Linked DNA regions of Xenopus tropicalis. The protein of the gene in region 1 purifies or fractionates together with the protein of each later gene. This does not show direct contact. Links are inferred from orthologs where the notes say so. Each region holds a gene or a part of one and is shown in the gene's direction. Other genes may lie near its edges.

Evidence for each region.
Region 2: the proteins of rpa1 (region 1) and top3a purify together in Homo sapiens (affinity purification with mass spectrometry; 4 studies listed by BioGRID and IntAct, with this or other methods). This does not show direct contact. The link is inferred for Xenopus tropicalis from reciprocal best matches to the Homo sapiens genes RPA1 and TOP3A.
Region 3: the proteins of rpa1 (region 1) and smarcal1 purify together in Homo sapiens (affinity purification with mass spectrometry; 8 studies listed by BioGRID and IntAct, with this or other methods). This does not show direct contact. The link is inferred for Xenopus tropicalis from reciprocal best matches to the Homo sapiens genes RPA1 and SMARCAL1.

Annotation. Positions count from the first base shown.
Region 1 is NC_030678.2:36,028,005-36,031,658, reverse strand, and holds part of rpa1 (replication protein A 70 kDa DNA-binding subunit), read left to right. Parts: intron 1-1,017; coding exon 1,018-1,120; intron 1,121-3,027; coding exon 3,028-3,096; intron 3,097-3,189; coding exon 3,190-3,382; intron 3,383-3,465; coding exon 3,466-3,605; intron 3,606-3,654. UniProt on the Homo sapiens protein: As part of the heterotrimeric replication protein A complex (RPA/RP-A), binds and stabilizes single-stranded DNA intermediates that form during DNA replication or upon DNA stress.
Region 2 is NC_030685.2:15,949,348-15,953,001, forward strand, and holds part of top3a (DNA topoisomerase 3-alpha), read left to right. Parts: intron 1-193; coding exon 194-269; intron 270-370; coding exon 371-479; intron 480-1,309; coding exon 1,310-1,453; intron 1,454-1,541; coding exon 1,542-1,712; intron 1,713-2,759; coding exon 2,760-2,860; intron 2,861-2,937; coding exon 2,938-3,012; intron 3,013-3,199; coding exon 3,200-3,282; intron 3,283-3,654. UniProt on the Homo sapiens protein: Releases the supercoiling and torsional tension of DNA introduced during the DNA replication and transcription by transiently cleaving and rejoining one strand of the DNA duplex.
Region 3 is NC_030685.2:86,339,298-86,342,951, reverse strand, and holds part of smarcal1 (SWI/SNF-related matrix-associated actin-dependent regulator of chromatin subfamily A-like protein 1), read left to right. Parts: intron 1-1,692; coding exon 1,693-1,876; intron 1,877-3,654. UniProt on the Homo sapiens protein: ATP-dependent annealing helicase that binds selectively to fork DNA relative to ssDNA or dsDNA and catalyzes the rewinding of the stably unwound DNA. Rewinds single-stranded DNA bubbles that are stably bound by replication protein A (RPA).

The DNA of each region.
Region 1 (3,654 bases):
GTAAGTGCCGTTCTCCTCAAGGGTTAAACTTTTATTTGCATTATATTGAATTGTTTTTGCATATAATCTGTTTTACAGAAAAGGAATGTTTTTAATCAATTTAATCTGGAATATGGAAAAATGTGTTCTTTTTTTCACATTGCTTTGTATTCCTGTCCTTCAGCCTGTGTACTTAACAATAATTTGCATATACATTTTCACAGGCATTTTAAGTAAGAACTGTAATTAAAAAGTCTACCAACCGACAATTGCATTAATTGTGTACAATGAAATATTGGAGTCATTTCACCAGTTCCATTTCATACTATAAAACACTTTTAATAATGAAGCTTCACTCTTTTGTGGGCCTGATTTAACCCACACCCATTAACATGTGTACATCATTTTGCAACAATGTAGTCTTGGCACTGTAGCTAGGCTAGAAGATATATTTGTTACACTGTTAACTACTTTGCTTTTATTCATTTTTTTTCTTTGCAAACACGTTTCATATTCATGCTTATCCTTGTTCCCTGTACATTAGCACAGATTATTGCAGTTAGGAACACATGACCCACTCTGACCATTTATTTCCTAGCATTACATTAAAATAGGAGGTATTATCTGCACATTAGACAATTTCCACAATGGTTGTTTCAGTGTAAACCTTGTTTAAAGTATTGAATTTTCTTTCCAAGGAGGCTGCATTATGCTACGGGATAATAGGGATCTTTTGCGTACTGCAAGCAATTGATTTGATTTGTTGGCTGTGCTAGAGTTTGTAAAAGCTTCCTGTGGTACAACACACTTACTGCCTCTGGAAAGCGCTTGACTCTCTGCATAGACAGTACCTTGCCAGCAAGTCATTTCCTGAGCAAGCTTTCTGCCTCCTTTGTTTGCCTGTCTCATTGCCCAAGCTCATTTGGAGGCTTGCCCTGTTCATAAAAATGAAAAAGTGCAAATAAAAAGGGTCTAAACCCTGATTAAGAATATTGTCATTTTACTGCTAATAAACACTAACATTTCTGTCTTTTTAAGGTGGACTGTTCGTGCTAGAGTTACCAATAAAGGTCAGATCCGCACATGGAGCAACTCCCGAGGGGAAGGGAAGCTATTTTCAATTGAGATGGTGGATGAGAGTGTAAGCAGGCTGTGCTAATTTGTTTCTTTTACTCTCTCATGTGATATGGATTTCTAAAGTGATTTAGCCTTTTCCATATCATAGATGTCATTTCAAAATCAGACTGGAAAGGTTATAGCCATTAGAATTCTTACAGGCTGTTTTTCAGTGATTATTTTAGTTTTTATCAAATAAATTTGAACCTCTAGTCATAATTTAAAAAATTAACACCGAAAATAATCCACAGAAATTATTTTTTGGGGTTGTAACTGGTAAAAATAATTCTTAAATAGAACAATAATACTAAATTTGTTTTGCAGATTTAATAAAAAGCAACTTTTGGTAATTTAGATAAAAACCTTCATTTGCATAGCTGTTTTTACGCCCACTCATGATTAATATATAGTGCTATTCTGTTCTGCAATCAAGCAGTATCTTTGCGTGCATAGTCAGTAACTACACTTAAAGGGGTTGTTCAACTTAAAATTAACTTATAGTATGGTGTAGAGCTTGATATTCTATGACGATTTGCAATTGGTCTTGACTTTATTTTCTGCGTTAATTATTTAGCTTATAGTTCAGCAACTCTCCAATTTAGAATTTCAACAATTCAATTTCTGTTTGCTAAGGTTTTAAATGTCCTAGCAAATGGCCAGTGGTTTCAATTTGAAACTTGAAAATTAATAGGAGAGGGGCTGAATATGAAGCTGAAAAGAGTCTGAAGAAAAAGACAATTCAAAATGTACTAATAGTTACTTAAACGTGAACCACCCCTTTAACCTCCACTTCATACACATACCTTTGTATAATTTAGTTCAGTTTATCAATAAGCAAATTTTTGTGGCCATGCATGGATTTGCTGCGAAATTCCTCATTTCACTGTTGCCAATTTTTTGCTGCAAAGATTTGTCGCAACTAAAAATTTCCAGGGAAAAATGCCCATAGCCTTTACTGTATTTGAAGTGAGAAAAAAGTAAAGAAAAAGTCATGTATGTAAAAAATTGCACGTTCACATTTTGTGAATATTTCGGCCAAGCCGAATAAGCCGCGTTTGCTCATCTCTACCCTTTGCAGATTAGATCCGCTGTCAGTACTCAGACCGCATTGCTGTGTCCCTAGTGGAACTAGCTGTTTATTTAATTCTCAGTTATCAAGTTATACTACAGCATTTTAACTGTGCTAGTCGGACCAGAATTTGTTTTGATGCAGGGAGGGATATTCTCACGAGTGAGTTCAGGCATTGGCAGCTACAGCTCCTTTTCTCAATTTCCAAAGCTGCCTGCGAATGTTCCCCTGCTTCAGAGGCAGACTGCTAGCTTTTGTTTTGCCCTTCTAACCTTCTTAATGATTTGAGTAGGGCAGGACTCGTCATTCTTTCTATTCTTGGTCACTCGCAAAAGAACGCAGTGACTAAAATGTTTTTCTGTGCAGATGTTGTTTCTCTGATGCAAGAACAAATCTGTTATCAAATAATTAGCTCTCCTTGCCCTGGGTAAAGAGGGGGTGGATGAGTCATCTCGGAGCCTGGGCAGCGAATGCAAGTGGTGACATCTTTGTCATCAATTAGGTACTAACTATTTCATAGCCCACACATCACGTGCTGTCTTAAGCTAATTAGTAAGTCATCTACATTGTCATTAACGAGGCACAATATCTTCATACATGGGATGCAAGTGTGTGTAAATAGAAGTTACATGGTCATTCTGTTATACCAGCTAATAAGAGAAACACCAGACTATAGTTTTCATCATGTGCCAAGTGTTAATGAGACTTGCACTGAGCCGACCAGGCATCACTGTATTGTCTGGAATTCTCACTTCCTTGCCATCTCTATAAAAACATTTTAAGGTTGAGCTCCAATGTAGTAAATCTTTGTAGTCTGACATTGCAATATAGGTCAGTTCACTGCTGCCTTTATTTTTCTACAGGGTGAGATCCGAGCTACAGCTTTCAATGAGCAAGCTGACAAGTTCTTTTCCCTTATTGAAGTCAACAAGGTAATTTTCTTTGTTTTTTCCCCCTTACTTGAGAAGTGAAAGACTTAGACTCTCTGCTACTTTATTATGACCTTGCATTCTCCATCTGCCTAGGTGTATTACTTCTCCAAAGGCACACTAAAAATTGCTAACAAGCAGTACACCTCTGTGAAGAACGACTATGAGATGACTTTCAACAGTGAGACGTCTGTTATTCCCTGTGATGACTCTGCTGATGTCCCAATGGTGCAGTTTGAATTTGTACCCATTGGTGAATTAGAAAGCAAGAATAAAGATACTGTATTAGGTCTGTATAGACTTAATTACTAGGATTATTTTCTTCCTTGTCTGTTGCTTTCTTATACTAACATTTTTACATTTGACCTACAGATATCATAGGGATATGCAAAAACGCTGAAGAGGTAACCAAGGTCACAATAAGATCTAACAACAGAGAAGTTTCTAAGAGAAACATTAATTTAATGGATTCATCTGGTAAAGTGGTCTCAACAACTCTGTGGGGTGAAGATGTAAGTTTCTGCAATTACACTGGTACACCTTTTAATTATGTTTACATCA
Region 2 (3,654 bases), on another chromosome or scaffold:
AGCAGGTAGCATTTACTGGTCAGTGATCATCTTATTGGTTGCTGCTCCTGGGCAGTGGGGTGGGGGGAGAATTTGAAGGCTAAAAGATAAGGGGAACATCCTTTTCAATATATTATCATCCTTGCTAATACAAGGCTGGGTGTTACCTTGATCAGTGGAACTAGTAATATCTTCCTGTTCTTTCCCTTTCCAGGCACAGCTGCAACCCGGTGTCTCTGTTTGAGGCAGAGGTGCAGAAGTACTGCCCTGATGACTTTGTAAACATAAAGGTACATAGATATTGTGTCTTGCATATGATACAAACTCTATCACCTGGTCCCTACCCACCCACCCTAATGAGAATTACAGCAAGCTGTCCTATTGATTCCAGCGGACCCTGGAGCGGGAGGTGCGACAGTGTCAGGCTCTCATAATATGGACTGATTGTGACAGAGAGGGAGAAAACATTGGCTTTGAGATCATCCATGTCTGCAAATCAGGTAAGCTGCTGTACAAGCAGGGCGAACTCTTAAAGGGGTGGTTCACTTTATTTTATTTGCCGCCTTCTTCCAACTCTTTGTCGCTTTCAAACGGGGATCACTGACCCCCTGGCAGCCAAAAACTATTGCTCTGTTTTACAGTTTTATTGTTACTTTTTAATCTATTCAGTCCCTCCCTATTCTCGGTGTTTGACTGGCCCACCAGGATACCCGGAAAACTCCCGGTGGGCCCAGTTGTCAGTGGGCCCTTCTGCTCACCCAGCCATTTGCCTTGTATGCCTATACCATGGCCGTTACTCAATTCTATATGAGAATAAATAGAAGAAATGGAGGAAAGGATAGATAATAGTATGTAAAAAGAAGTAATTCAGGGACTAAAGAAAGGGGGAGAGTGGGCCTAAGGTCTAAGGTTTTCTGGTGGGCCCTTGGCTCCCCAGTCCAACACTGCCTCTCCTATTAATATATCTCTATTAATATATTAATAATGTCTCTCATTCAAACCACTTCCTGGTTGCTAAGGCAATTTGGACCCTAGCAACCAGATAGCTGTTATAACTCCCAAGAGTTAACTCAAATGTGAACTGCACCTTGAAGGAGAACTCTAATAAACAGCCCCTTCCATCTTTCTCTGCATTAGAATGTATGAGCTCAGTGCAGGGTATAACTTGATGGGAATAAACATCTGTAGCTTTGGCTGCCATACAGTCCTGGAGCTGTCAGGTGTTTGTTTATGATGGGCCAGATAGACACAGTTGTGAGTTATTAGCTATATTTGGTGTTAAACACCCATACAGTGCCTGTGCTTAGTTGTGTCTCTCATTCTGCGCTAGTCAAGCCAAACTTGCAGGTTTTCCGGGCCCGGTTCTCCGAGATCACTCCTCGTTCCATCCGGATGGCTTGTGAGCACCTGGTACAACCTGACCAGAACATCAGCGACGCGGTAGATGTACGAATGGAGCTTGACCTGCGGATAGGTGAGAATCAGCCATCTGTTTCGTCCCTTATCACCCGTGAATGTATTCATTCTACTCTATTCTATTGTTTTATTGATTGTTAATGCAGGTGCTGCTTTCACAAGGTTCCAAACCCTCCGCCTTCAGAAGATGTTTCCCTCTGTGCTGTCCAATCAGCTCATCAGCTACGGCAGCTGCCAGTTTCCCACCTTGGGGTTCGTGGTGGAGAGATTTAAAGCCATCCAGGCTTTTATTCCTGAAACCTTCTACAAGATTAAAGGTGCTTACTCATGGGAGAGAATTATTCATGCTGCTCTCAATTCCATTAAGCTGGCCATACGCGCACCGATGATATGTTTCATGCGATATCCGGTGCGTGTATGGCAGCTTGATGAGGCGACCGTTATCGCAAAAGGGTGCAGATATCTGTCGACTTGTCGATCGGCCAGGTTAAAAGATTTTGATTCTATCTCCATATCTGACTATTCAGCCCTGAACGTCAGTGGAGGGTGGGAACAATCTTTCCTGCAACCATTGGTCGAAAATTGCTACGTGTATGGCCACCTTTAGTCATCTTGTACAGTCTCTAATAATGGTGTGCTTGCTAAAGTCAACAGCTGGTATTTTATCTGCCACTAGTTATATGACAATCCGTACCTTGGTAACCGGGTATCTGACCCATAGAGAATGGTCATGTGTGGGTCGACCCATGCCTGGCAAGTCACCTCTATTTATAGTCACTGAGCTGACCTGCCCCATCTCTGATGTTACAAAGGGGGCCGGGTGCATGCACCTGTAAATTGAGGCTGCTGGAGGCAGAAGCCAGGCGAGTAAGGTCATAGGCAGAGAGGGCAAAAGGGAGAGCATAGCCTGAACCACAATCTGGAAATCACATGCGTTTGTCAGTCCAATCCCACCTACTCAATAGAACGATACAACACCCTTCCTCATCTGGTGCAAATTTCTGTAGTAATCACGTATTACAATATTTACCAAGTCTGTAATGAACAGCACCAATGAGGAGAGTTTCTTTGGTAATAAAAGGCCTTTTTTCTATTGTGGCCAAATCCTGGAAGGTACAAGCAAAGTTTCAGGCCCCAACTGGCCTTTCAAACTTCAAAAAAGGCTGGTTGAGCCCTGAAACTTTGCTTGTACCTTCCAGGATTTGGCCACAATGGACCCACCTGTCAGTGCCACAGGTTTTGGCCCGGCCCGACATCATTGATAGAGAGTACTGTGGTTTAAATACAGCTAGAAACATGCAGACTGCCCAGTCCAATAACCCATCCTTGGCTTTATCACTATTCTAGTTTTCTTGGTTCTTTAGTGACTCATGAACACGAAGATGGACTGGTGGAGTTTAGCTGGAAACGGAACCGTCTGTTTAACCACACGGCTTGCCTGGTTCTCTATCAGATCTGCATGGAGGTACAGGATTGATACAGAGCTAATTATATTCAGCTTGAATTCATTAAAACTGATCCAAAACTGTATTGTGCTTGTAGGATCCTATGGCTACTGTGATGGAGGTGGGAAGTAAACCAAAGAGCAAGTGGAGACCTGTGGCTTTAGACACTGTGGTATGGGCTCTTTTGTATAAACCGCTGGACTTTCTCGAGCTGTTATGTGATATATTCAGTAATGTCTGCCAGTGGGTCTCATAGCTTCACATGATGTTATAGATTCAGCATAGACAGGCCCATGGCCATGTTGCTTATAAAGTAATCAGTTCTGTAGTGTTCTCACTCCCCTCTCTGTGCTCTGTAGGAGCTGGAAAAGCTGGCATCCCGCAAGCTGAAAATTGGAGCCAAGGAAACCATGAAGGTGGCAGAGAAGCTTTATACTCAAGGGTAAGTCTGTGTTATTAATACACCCCTGTATTTACTGAACCCCGTGGGTAAAAAGATTGGCAACAGAATTGTAGATCCTTTAATTCCCCATGTGTCCCCCTTGCCACCTATATTAATAGCTGTTATATATGTATCGTCTTTACTGCCCCTGCATGTTATAAAAAGACCAATTCTAAACAGCTTTTCAACTGGTCTTTATTTATTTTTTATAGTTTTTTTTAATAATTTGCCTTCTTCTTCCAACTCTTTCCAGCTTTCAAATGGGGGTCACTGACCCCGGCAGCCAAAAATCTATTGCTCCTCGAGGCTACAGTTTTATTGTTATTGTTACTTTTTATTTACTTATCTTTCTATTTAGCCCTCTCCTATACA
Region 3 (3,654 bases), on another chromosome or scaffold:
TATTTTTTCTTGAATAACTGTTTGTGAGGCTTAACATTTCCCCTGTGAGCCTCGCGCCCGCCCACTCACAGATAAATAGGGGTCATTGCAGGAGATAATGCCAGGCTGGCACTGAGAGGCGCAACCTAATTGGCTTTCTCTCCCTGCTGTGAATAGCGGCCAATGTAATAAGCAGGCAAATTGCAGCAATTACTGACCACTGTTTCATTTCACCCATAAGCAGATCAAAGCCATAAAAGCCTCCTTTTGTTCTCCCCCATACGTATCCCACCCCCTGTTAGTGTTAACCCTTTCTTCCTTGCAAGAGGTCGGCAATTTCAGGTGACCCCGGCCTTTCAGAGCTCGAAATGCAGTAACGGCTGGAAAAGTAATGTCCTGTTCTGTATAAACGCCCCGAGCACTGAAACTGGGGTAACAGTCACCCCGCTATAGTTCCAGGGGTACCCAGGGCACAAATAAGCACTCACCCCAAATCCCCCCTAACTGGCCTTCAGGCTGGGCCCCCTTAGCCCATAACAAGGTTACAGATATATAGAAACATTGGGGTAACAGTCACCCCGCTATAGTTCCAGGGGTACCCAGGGCACAAATAAGCACTCACCCCAAATCCCCCCCTAACTGGCCTTCAGGCTGGGCCCCCTTAGCCCATAACAAGGTTACAAATATATAGAAACATTGGGGTAACAGTCACCCTGCTATAGTTCCAGGGGTACCCAGGGCACAAATAAGAACTCACCCCAAATCCCCCCCTAACTGGCCTTCAGGCTGGGCCCCCTTAGCCCATAACAAGGTTACAGATATATAGAAACATTGGGGTAACAGTCACCCCGCTATAGTTCCAGGGGTACCCAGGGCACAAATAAGCACTCACCCCAAATCCCCCCCTAACTGGCCTTCAGGCTGGGCCCCCTTAGCCCATAACAAGGTTACAGATATATAGAAACATTGGGGTAACAGTCACCCCGCTATAGTTCCAGGGGTACCCAGGGCACAAATAAGCACTCACCCCAAATCCCCCCCTAACTGGCCTTCAGGCTGGGCCCCCTTAGCCCATAACAAGGTTACAGATATATAGAAACATTGGGGTAACAGTCACCCCGCTATAGTTCCAGGGGTACCCAGGGCACAAATAAGCACTCACCCCAAATCCCCCCCTAACTGGCCTTCAGGCTGGGCCCCCTTAGCCCATAACAAGGTTACAGATATATAGAAACATTGGGGTAACAGTCACTCTGCTATAGTTCCAGGGGTACCCAGGGCACAAATAAGCACTCACCCCAAATCCCCCCCTAACTGGCCTTCAGGCTGGGCCCCCTTAGCCCATAACAAGGTTACAGATATATAGAAACATTGGGGTAACAGTCACCCTGCTATAGTTCCAGGGGTACCCAGGGCACAAATAAGCACTCACCCCAAATCCCCCCCTAACTGGCCTTCAGGCTGGGCCCCCTTAGCCCATAACAAGGTTACAGATATATAGAAACATTGGGGTAACAGTCACCCCACTATAGTTCCAGGGGTACCCAGGGCACAAATAAGCACTCACCCCAAATCCCCCCCTAACTGGCCTTCAGGCTGGGCTCCCTTAATGGTCATGATAATGGTGATATCCCTTTAATGCCACACTCTATGGGTCATGTGATTTCTCTATAATAAGCCCCCCCCAGCTGATCATATTGAATCCCCCCATAGTGGAGAGTGTGCGGAACATTCAGCAAGTGGAAGTGGAGCCGCTCCCCAGGCCGGTGCTCCAAGCCTTCGCGCCGCAGTTTGGAAAAACCACCATCATTCGCGAGGAGATTCCGGAAGTGGATTTATCTCAAGTGGATTCCAAGCTCGGCAGCAACTTAATGCCCTTCCAGCGCGACGGAGTGAAGTAAGTGAGGGCAGATACCCCCCTCCTCTCCATATATACAGGGGTAACCAAAGCAGAAATGACACTGTGCTTAAAGGGGAAGTAAACCCAAATAAATATTTGCCTAATGTAATTCCAATCTGTCAGCTTTGCCTTACTGCAGTGCTGTGCTCTCCTGGCTGGTTCTTAATTACTTTGCCCCATAGAATTTGGGAAATGACTTCTATCTCACCTGAAGATCATTTATGATAGGGGGGAGCCTACAGGCATAGGAATTGCCCCCCTTATGCAATGAGCCCCAGTATCTGCTTCACAGCGCAGTCTCTGTTCCGACTCAGAAGTCGCTTTCTTCCCTGTACCTGGGGCTCCTGCTTAGTCTGTACCCAGTGAACTGCTTGGGAGCGCGTGTACTTTACTTAATGAACTGTTGTTCCGACTCATGAGCAGGCGTAGGGAGCGCAGATTTTACCCACAGTGCCAGTTTGCTGCCGGTGGCAAATGAGCTGGAAAGCCATTAAAATCGGAACTACAGCCAAGTTCTGCCTGCGGATAAGTAAATGTTTGTTATTCTCTATCAGCAGTGATTTCTCCTGTCCGTCCCTCTGCGCAGTTTCCCTGTGCCCAAAGCTGCCCGATGTCTGTCTATTGACTACTGAGCCGTTATATGATACTGTCTCCTCCTAAGTTTGCTCATAGCCTGTACAGAGAGATACCATAAAACTATGGCACATAGGGATTCCCCTGTACTAAGCACAATTCAGCAGGAACAGCCCCCTAAGTTTGCCCATAGCCTGTACAGAGAGATACCATAAAACTATGGCACATAGGGATTCCCCTGTACTAAGCACAATTCAGCAGGAACAGCCCGCTAAGTTTGCCCATAGCCTGTACAGAGAGATACCATAAAACTATGGCACATAGGGATTCCCCTGTACTAAGCACAATTCAGCAGGAACAGCCCCCTAAGTTTGCTCATAGCCTGTACAGAGAGATACCATAAAACTATGGCACATAGGGATTCCCCTGTACTAAGCACAATTCAGCAGGAACAGCCCCCTAAGTTTGCTCATAGCCTGTACAGAGAGATACCATAAAACTATGGCACATAGGGATTCCCCTGTACTAAGCACAATTCAGCAGGAACAGCCCGCTAAGTTTGCTTATAGCCTGTACAGAGAGATACCATAAAACTATGGCACATAGGGATTCCCCTGTACTAAGCACAATTCAGCAGGAACAGCCCCCTAAGTTTGCTCATAGCCTGTACAGAGAGATACCATAAAACTATGGCACATAGGGATTCCCCTGTACTAAGCACAATTCAGCAGGAACAGCCCCCTAAGTTTGCTCATAGCCTGTACAGAGAGATACCATAAAACTATGGCACATAGGGATTCCCCTGTACTAAGCACAATTCAGCAGGAACAGCCCCCTAAGTTTGCTCATAGCCTGTACAGAGAGATACCATAAAACTATGGCACATAGGGATTCCCCTGTACTAAGCACAATTCAGCAGGAACAGCCCCCTAAGTTTGCTCATAGCCTGTACAGAGAGATACCATAAAACTATGGCACATAGGGATTCCCCTGTACTAAGCACAATTTAGCAGGAACAGCCTCCTAAGTTTACTCATAGCCTGTACAGAGAGATACCATAAAACTATGGCACATAGGGATTCCCCTGTACTAAGCACAATTTAGCAGGAACAGCCCCCTAAGTTTACTCATAGCCTGTACAGAGAGAGAGATAACTCTCCCTGAAACATGAGTTGAGTAATTACTGTATTCTTATTCTTTCC